2 separate regions of the Mus musculus genome follow, and region 1 is reported to be linked to region 2. Evidence: microRNA targets listed by miRTarBase, many of them from high-throughput screens and not tested one by one. Region 2 holds a microRNA gene; the other region holds the end of a gene's coding sequence.

Region 1 (4,000 bases), not on the chromosome of region 2:
TCACTGTGTGTGTGCATGATGTGTGAACGCAGGTGTGTGTATGCCACGTGTCTCATGTGGAGGTGAGAGGCATTGGTGTTCTCTTTGCTCCTTAACACAGAATCAGGGGATCAAACTCCAGTCGTCAGGTTTGCACAGCAGTGCCTGTTGGAACCATCTTGCCAGCCCCTAGGAGCTAAATCTTGCAGGAGCCAATTACCTCTCTTGGTTGATAGGGTAGCTTTGTTTACAATGAGGTCACATTACAATCCTTAACTAAAGCCCTCAAAAACACAGGAGATGCACTAGCTGGCTCCCCTACACCCCACTCTCACTAAATTCCTTGACCGATACTCGAACAAAACCAGAGAGAATTCGGTTTCTTATTAATAGAACAAAGAAGGGTGTGCATACGCCTGGATTCTACCTGTTGCACTTAGGTCAATAGCCAGGACCTGTAGCCAATCATATTCAAGGAGCAGAATGGCCTCAGCCTGTGAGATGAGGCACCTATGGAGGTTGGCACTGGATACTGTTCCATCTGTGCCTGGCTTCTGGCACTTGGGAGCCATCACTGGCCGCTATTCCACTGACTTCGGTCCTATGCTAACTTAACATGCTTGGGGAGGGGATCTTCTCCACACTGCCATTTCCATATCAAACTGATGCCACTCCATGGTCTACCCACTGCAGACAGAGCCCGTGCCACCGTTCTTGTCCCCATCCCATCAAGTAGGGCCAGCAACTGCAAAGCAACTCTGAAGTCAGACTTCCACCTGCCACCAGGTCCTTAAGAACAAGAAGGAAAGGCCTGTGAAGACAGCTCAGCACAATGAGTAAGATCTGCATTCAGACCCCTAATGCCCACAGAAAAGCTGGGCTCACTGGCACACACCTGAGGCCCGGGTGATGTGTGTGTGTGTGTGGCAGGAGAGAGCATGAGTTAGACCCCCAGAATCTGCAGGCTAGCAGTCTCATCAATCAGTGACCTGTGGGGAGAGACCCTGCCTCAGAATGCCAGGTACTGAGCAACAGAGGGGACAACCCATCATCAACCCCTGCTCTCCCTGTGCACACACAGGTATACACAGGTACTGGCACATGTGTGTGTGGACACTCACACACATACATGTGGACACTTACACACACACATGACTGGAGAAGACATCTTGGAGAGGGATCAAATATTAAGGACACATTCATGGAGATTCAGTTTTTCTCCCTCACTTTCTTTCTTTCTTTTTTTTTTAAAGTAGCCTTTTTCTTTATGTTTTCCTTTTTCTTTTTGTTTATATATTTTCTGGCCCTGCTTGCTCCGGCCTTATTTATTTTATAAATGTGAGTACACTATTGCTCTCTTCAGATACCAGAAGAGGGCACCAAATCCCATTATAGATGGTTGTGAGCCACCATGTGGTTGCTGGGAATTAAACTCAGGACCTCTGGAAGAGCAGTCAGTGCTCTTAACTGCTCTTCAGCCCTCTCCCTCACTTTCAACAAATGAAATAAGCCCGTCTTCCACCCTTATTTTATCAATAGGGAGACCCCACCAGATACAGGTCAATGTCCTATGTCATAGGGATAACCTGGCCACTGATCTGTATTGTGTTCTCTGAAACCACCCTCATAACAACGGGACCCCACACCCCTCTCACACTCCCTGTGAGTGGCAGCCCCAGCTCCTCAAATCAGTGTTAGTCCTTTCTCCTCAGCCCCATTCTAATGAACAACTCTGCCTAAGGCCAGGCATGGTGGCACACATGGCTACTCTACTGCCACGAACACCACCAGGTAAGGATTGGTCCCTGGGCTCAGATGGACTGGACAGCAGCAGTGGGGATGGAGGGACTGCGGCTTTGCTCTTGCCCTTTGCCTGGCAGTCATCTGGGAGCCCAAACCTGTGGCTCTGCTTGTCTCTGAGGAATGATCCTTCCAGGCAAGTGGGTGTCTGACTTACCCAAGTCCTTAGCGTTGTTTGACACACGTGTCGAGGGAACAATCCTATTCAGAGAACAGCAGTCAGGGAGAAACAATAGAGGGCTAGAGAGATGGCTCAGCGTGAGCGTGAGTGTGTGCGTGAGTGTGAGCGCTAACTGCTTGCAGAAGACTCAGGTTTGGTTCCTAACACTTACATCAGACAGCTCATACTGCCTATAACTTCAGTTCCAGGGAGCCCAATGTCCTCAGGCCTCTGAGGGCACCTGCACACACGTGGTACACACAAATAAAATAAAGATCTTCTTTTTTTAAAGAAGAAATAATAAGAGCCAACAGATGACTCAACAGATAGAGGCATTTGCCACCAAGCCTGATAGCCCGAGTTCAGTCTCTGGGACCCACATAGAGGAAGAAGTGAGCTGCATCCTGCAAACTGTCCTGACGAGCATTTATCAGCAGCAGCAGCAGCAGCAATGTGTTGTGGCACACCTGTATCTAAGTGCTTGGGAGGCAGAGACAGAAAGACTGCTGAAAGTTCAAAAGTTCAAGGCCTGCCAGTGTATACACTGAGATCCTGTCTGAAATAAATCAAAAGAGGAGGAAGAAAACTGTGAGCTTTCACAAGTGGACACACGTGCTTCGGGACTGTCCGCCCCTTCTGCTTAGACAGAGGTCACATCATCCCGCAGAACTGCAAGGGCACAGACAGGCACTAGCTCACCTGAGTGCCCCACGAACATTCAACCCCCAGTGTGGCCTCTCTGCATCTTCTGGCTACTTCGCCCACCTGGGCCACTTCCCCTTGGACCCAATCTCCTCTCCAGAGAGGACACACTGTGGAGCACGGAAGCCTGGACCTGCTGGTGTCTACCCTGCCTACTTGCACCTTATTGCTGGTCTAGTGTAGTAGATGTTTTCCCACTTCAAGGGTCAGGGTTTCTGCCTGGAGCATATTGGGAGGAAGCCGCTGCTTAACAGACTGACGGACACAGCATGGCACAGATAAGAGGGCGTGTGGACTCTGAGAGGAGACAAGACGCACTCACAGCTGAGTCACTGAACAGGACGAGGAGCACAGCGGCTTCCTCGCAAGGTCCCTGTGCAGCAAGGTCCCTGTGCAGCAAGGTCCCTGTGCAGGGAGCTGGTGTGAGCTGGCACGTGACTGCCGCCTCACCCCCCCAGGCTCACTCGGGCACCTGACAGATGGCGTGTATGCCGGCTGGGATTCAGATCCACAGCTGCCTGGTTCTCAAGCCCGTTCGTTTCTTTCTATACAGGTGGTCATCTGAGGGGACATCTCTCATGGGGCTGGGAGATCGGTGACGGGACCTCCAGAATAAATTAACTGCCTTCAGGGCAAAGTAAAAGAACAGATAGGCAAAAATGAGAAACACAGAGAAGAAGCAAAAAAACTCCAAATTCTCCCCAAATTGCATATCGTTTCTGTCTGGAAAAGCAGACATAAAAGACGCTGGAGACATGGCTGCAATGACGAGAACCACCTCACCAAATGTCAGTTACGATTTCTTGCTTTCAGCCAACAAGATCAAAGAATATTCCAGAACTGATGCTGTTCCAAGAGCAGAAGGCTTCTCAGTTCCAAGTGACTCCAGGGCAGCTAAGCGCTCGCCGTAAGCTCCAGACACTCAGTTTTGTTTCCTATACTGCAAGACAGAGAGATGAGAGACGGGTGAGGGAAGCCATGGGGGAGGGCTCTGTTGTGTCACACGGGCCTCTCCACGACTGCAGGGGTTTCTGGGAGGTGGTGAGACTCCATCGGGAGACCCTTCACCTTCACATCGAGTTGGTGCCTAGGCCCTCCTTCTTTAATGAAAAGGCTGGGAGGCCGAGGGCACTGGGACTAAGCATGGAACTCACCAGGGCTCGGCCTTATTCTGAATCTTGTTTGTGGGAGAAAAGTCCCAGGCAGAGGAGACCCTCAGACACCCAGGGTCCCCAGCCAATCATCGAGGCTTTCCTGCCTTTGTTTTGATTTTTCTGTCAGGGATAAGCCCCAGCGGCTTCTGCACTAGGCAAGCAGTCGACCACTGAGGTCAATGCCCTATCAAAATCTGTTTTTACA
Region 2 (4,152 bases):
CCTTGCAAACTCAAGAATTCTCTTTATTTTATTAACAATATTCTATACTTCAGCACACAGTTGACTTATGACCTAAAGACCAGTATAAATTACTGTTGATAAAAGTGGGTGAAACCACTTATCACTCTGTAGTCTGTTTCCATTTTAATGCTGTATTTCACAGAGCAATAAGTCAGACCATACTAGAACTTTGTACTCAGAGGCCTTATCTGTCACGCATTCCGTGTTCCTGCTTCGGTTTCCATCAGGGAAAACCCAGGCAGTGGGGCAGCTCTGACGGCAGCCAATCACCCGGGCTCTGCTATCAGCAGCATGTGCTATTTAGCCGAGAAGCAGGAAGCACTCAGGACTTCCAGGTAAGGAGCCGCTGCTGTCCTCTTGGTCCTCTGTTCTCTCTTTATAAGCAAAAGGCACAGGACAGGATCTCTGCTGGAAGTGACCGTGGAAAGAACGAGGTAAGAGGCTAAGAGTTCCTGTCTGTTGTCTAAATGTGACAAAGAACACGGTGGAGCTTCAGAAGGAAGAGCCTGTTCCCACCAAGTCCAATGCGCAGGCTGTAGAGGCAGCAGGCAACGATTTAGGATGCTTTCTTTACTTACTGAACATAAAGTCCACAGGTTTCCAGAGGCTGGCTCTAAGCTACCTTAGCGCGTAAGTCAACAGTGCTGGTGACAACATACGTCTAAAATAAGGAAAGAAACGCCATCAACAGCTTCCTGTCTTCTCTAGGTGGCCAATGTTTCTAAATTTTATCCATTTTATGTTAAAAAATACTTGTTGCCAGGAAGTGGTGGTTCACGCCTTTAATCCCAGCACTTGGGAGGCAGAGGTAGGTGGATTTCTGAGTTTGAGACCCGCCTGGTCTACAGAGTGAGTTCCAGGACAGCCAGAGCTATACAGAGAAACCCTGTCTCCGAAAAAAAAAACAAAACAAAACTTGTTTTCATTAACCAGGGACTAGATTGCCACCTAAATTATACGGGGATTATATTACAGATTCAGGAAATGGCCAATGATATTAACATTAAAAGTTCTTGAGGAAAAGAAGCGAACATAAGCTATAAATGAAATTGACATGTCAGAGTTTGAGTCCAGAGTTTAATTCTGTCAGTCTTTAAACTCATTTGGGACACGAGGAATCCCAGGTTCTCTTTGGGAAACAAGTAAGTATATTTAGAGGCAACTCGCAGACTCTCGTCCAGGAAGCAGAAAATCCAGGCGCGGCAGAGCTCACCGGGAATCTCAGCTCCCTGGAAGCTGAGGCAGGACTGCAAGGTACAGGCTAGGTCTTGTCCCAAACTGCCACCACTCCCACCACACACCAGGAAGAGGTAGAGGGCTGGGGCTAGCTCCAGTCTCCTGTAGAGTACTTGCCTGGGATGCACCAGGCTCCAGGTTCAATCCTCAAGACTCCTCCACACCGAGGGAGTAGTGTTTTAAAGCTAAGGACCCATCCGGCAAACTGATGGAGTCATCGGGTGTAACAGCAACTCCATGTGGACTGTGCTCGGATTCCAGTGGAGCTGCTGTTACTTCTGATGGCCTCCAACCGGCTACAAACATGGAAAAGGAAGGGCAGACATTTCTGGGTGGGCTCTTGGTTATCATTTGATTCAGAAAAAGAATGATGATCTTCATTCTGTTTCCTAACTAACAAATACTTAAGAATGTAAATGTTCTCAAGTTCAAGTGCTAGGTCAGCAGAGGACCCAGCCATGGAGACTACGGAGCACGGAGCTCTCAGCATCAACGGTGTACAGGAGAATGACCTATGATTTGACAGACCGTGCAGCTGTGTATGTCTGTCATTCTGTAGGCCAATATTCTGTATGTCACTGCTACTTAAAATCCGGACATCGGCAAACACCCTCTGAGCGCTGTGCAGCAGATCACGGGAGAGTCTGTAGCATGGCAGGAGAATGTGCTGACAAAATAAAATGAGTGCTTCTGTGTACCTGAGAAAGCTGACGTCTATTTCATCTCACTCACCGACTGCTCAATCTGTGTACATTTTCACTTTGAAAACAATTGTCAGTTCCACCAGTCTGCTGAAGTCTGAGGGTGTAGCTCAGTGGTAGAGTGTGTGTTGCTGAAAATTTGGGGTATGTCACAGTGGTCGAGTTTGTGTTGGTGAAGTGTGGGGATACAGCTCAGTGGTGGAATGTGAGTTGCTGAAGTCTGGGATACGACTCAGTGATACAGTGTGTATTCACGTCTGAGAGGGCCTGAGTTCAATCAATCCCCTGCACACAAAACAAATAAAAGCCAAATCTGTTTTACTTCTTAATTTTAATAACATATACTCATCCTACCGCACTCACTTCAAGGCAATGCCCTCAAAGTCTTGCATTCTGATAGCTGAGGACTAAGAAACAACTGGCTTTAAGTTTACTTGTGTGAATTTATCTCAACTATAATCATTTCATTTTCAACAGATGTATTAAGATAGTAGTGAAATATAACTGAAAAAACTCTTGAGTTCTGTAAGAGCCACACAGGGACAATCCTGGAGCAGAGTCAACTCTAAACTATAACAATACTCAAATGGTCTTACAAATCTAGCCTGTACATGCTTAGCCTGAAAAAGACTTCTTAAAATCCCTAGTGTGGTGCTCAAGACTCCTTCAGCCTGTCCCAGCCAGTTATTTTTTTTAATTTATTTATTATTATATATATTTAAGTACACTGTAGCTGTCTTCAGACAAACCAGAAGAGGGCCTCAGATCTCACCACAGATGGTTGTGAGCCATCACATGGTTGCTGGGGTTTGAACTCAGAACCTTCAGAAGAGCAGTCAGTGCTCTTAACTGCTGAGCCATCTCTCCAGCCCCCGGCCAGTTCTTAGTGACTGCCTTTCTATCCCTCTCACAGCCCTGGAATCCCATGGCTCCTACGCACAGCACACACTGCCACCCTGCCTCCCGCAGAGCACTCTTCCCTGCCCTCAGCTTAGAATACAAGTCAGTGGTCAGGAATGCACAGGGCCTTGATATAATTCCTAGCACAAAATTATTAAAGATAACAACAAACCTATCCTTTGTGTGGTCATACGTGACTTTTTAAAAAAACAACAACTTAAATTAACATTTTTTAAAACTTCTAAAATCCATACACTCAGAATGATACTATTAACACATACAATCACAGCAACAGTGAAAACCAAATCATCTCAACAACGCCAAGGAATCCCCAGGAAGGGCCGCCAGTCTGGGCCTACAGTCTCTCAACCAACAAACAACCCATCACTTATTGCCTCTGCCCCTCGAAACTGCTGACTAGATCCTGAACTAACAAAATCACACTCAGCCAATGTCGCTGATGCTATAGCATAGTTGAGTAAAATCTCATTAACCAAAATAAAGTCAAAGCAGTCTTAGGAAATGAAAACTTACAATGAATTCTTACAGAAATGATTAGCTGTCCCCTTTCCACATCTATCAAAACAGCAACTAGGAGCTGGGTATGGTGGCACAGGCTTTAATCCCAGGGGGTGCACAAGAAAGAGAGAGAGAGAAAGAGAGAGAGAGGAAGGGAGGGAACACAAACAACAAAACCTTAACAGCAACAACGTAGAAACTGCAAACTCCAACAGCATCCTCATGGTCATGGGGTTGAGGGAACATCAGCCCTCTGAATGCCTCACTCGCTCGCTGTCACACTGCGGACTTAGCCTTAACCCCGTGCTCCTGTCTCAGGCTTGCTCACTGCTGGCTCATCCAGCCCAGCAACAGTGTGACTTTCTACTCCCAGCACTGGGGAGGCTGAGGCAGGAGGACTGCCGTGAATGTGAGACTGTGCCAGAGCAGCCAGTGCTCACTGGTGAGACAGACAGAGCTGAGAGCGAGGAGGACATCGGGACAAACCTGTAATCCCGCTGAGGAAGGCAAACAACTTGGACCCAGGCTCTGAGGGCAGCCTGGACTTCATCATGAAAGGCCATCTCAAAGCCCCAGAGCAACGGACAGTAACAACGGATTCTTAATGGTAAACACCGTTCTTCCATGGAAACATAACTCATTTTAAACAATAAAAATCAGAAAAGAATTACCTGTTGATCAAATATTCATCTTTTGTCTTATGATGAAACACAGGAATGGGAACCCCCCAGACTCTCTGCCGGGATATGCACCAGTACGGCCGTCTGTCCAGCAT

What was found. Region 2 holds the annotated microRNA mmu-miR-215-5p (AUGACCUAUGAUUUGACAGAC, at 1,765-1,785, shown strand). A microRNA usually pairs through its seed, bases 2 to 8, with sites in the 3' UTR of a target mRNA and lowers its output. Matches are read on the target gene's strand: a 7mer-m8 pairs with bases 2 to 8, a 7mer-A1 pairs with bases 2 to 7 and ends in A, and an 8mer does both.
Region 1: miRTarBase lists Lyrm9 as a target of mmu-miR-215-5p. The part of its 3' UTR that is shown has no 7-base or 8-base seed match.

Annotation. Positions count from the first base shown.
Region 1 is chr11:78,838,704-78,842,703 of GRCm38, reverse strand. Lyrm9 (LYR motif containing 9) reads right to left here. Exons shown (of 4, transcript NM_001076681.2): 4 at 1-3,581. The coding sequence ends at 3,564. Among named protein-coding and RNA genes, the nearest start is that of Lyrm9, 14 kb to the right of the region's middle.
Region 2 is chr1:185,311,846-185,315,997 of GRCm38, forward strand. Mir215 (microRNA 215) reads left to right here and starts at 1,736; the gene lies at 1,736-1,847. It overlaps Iars2 (isoleucine-tRNA synthetase 2, mitochondrial), which reads right to left. Exons shown (of 23, transcript NM_198653.3): 12 at 4,049-4,152. It overlaps Mir194-1 (microRNA 194-1), which reads left to right and starts at 1,474; the gene lies at 1,474-1,540.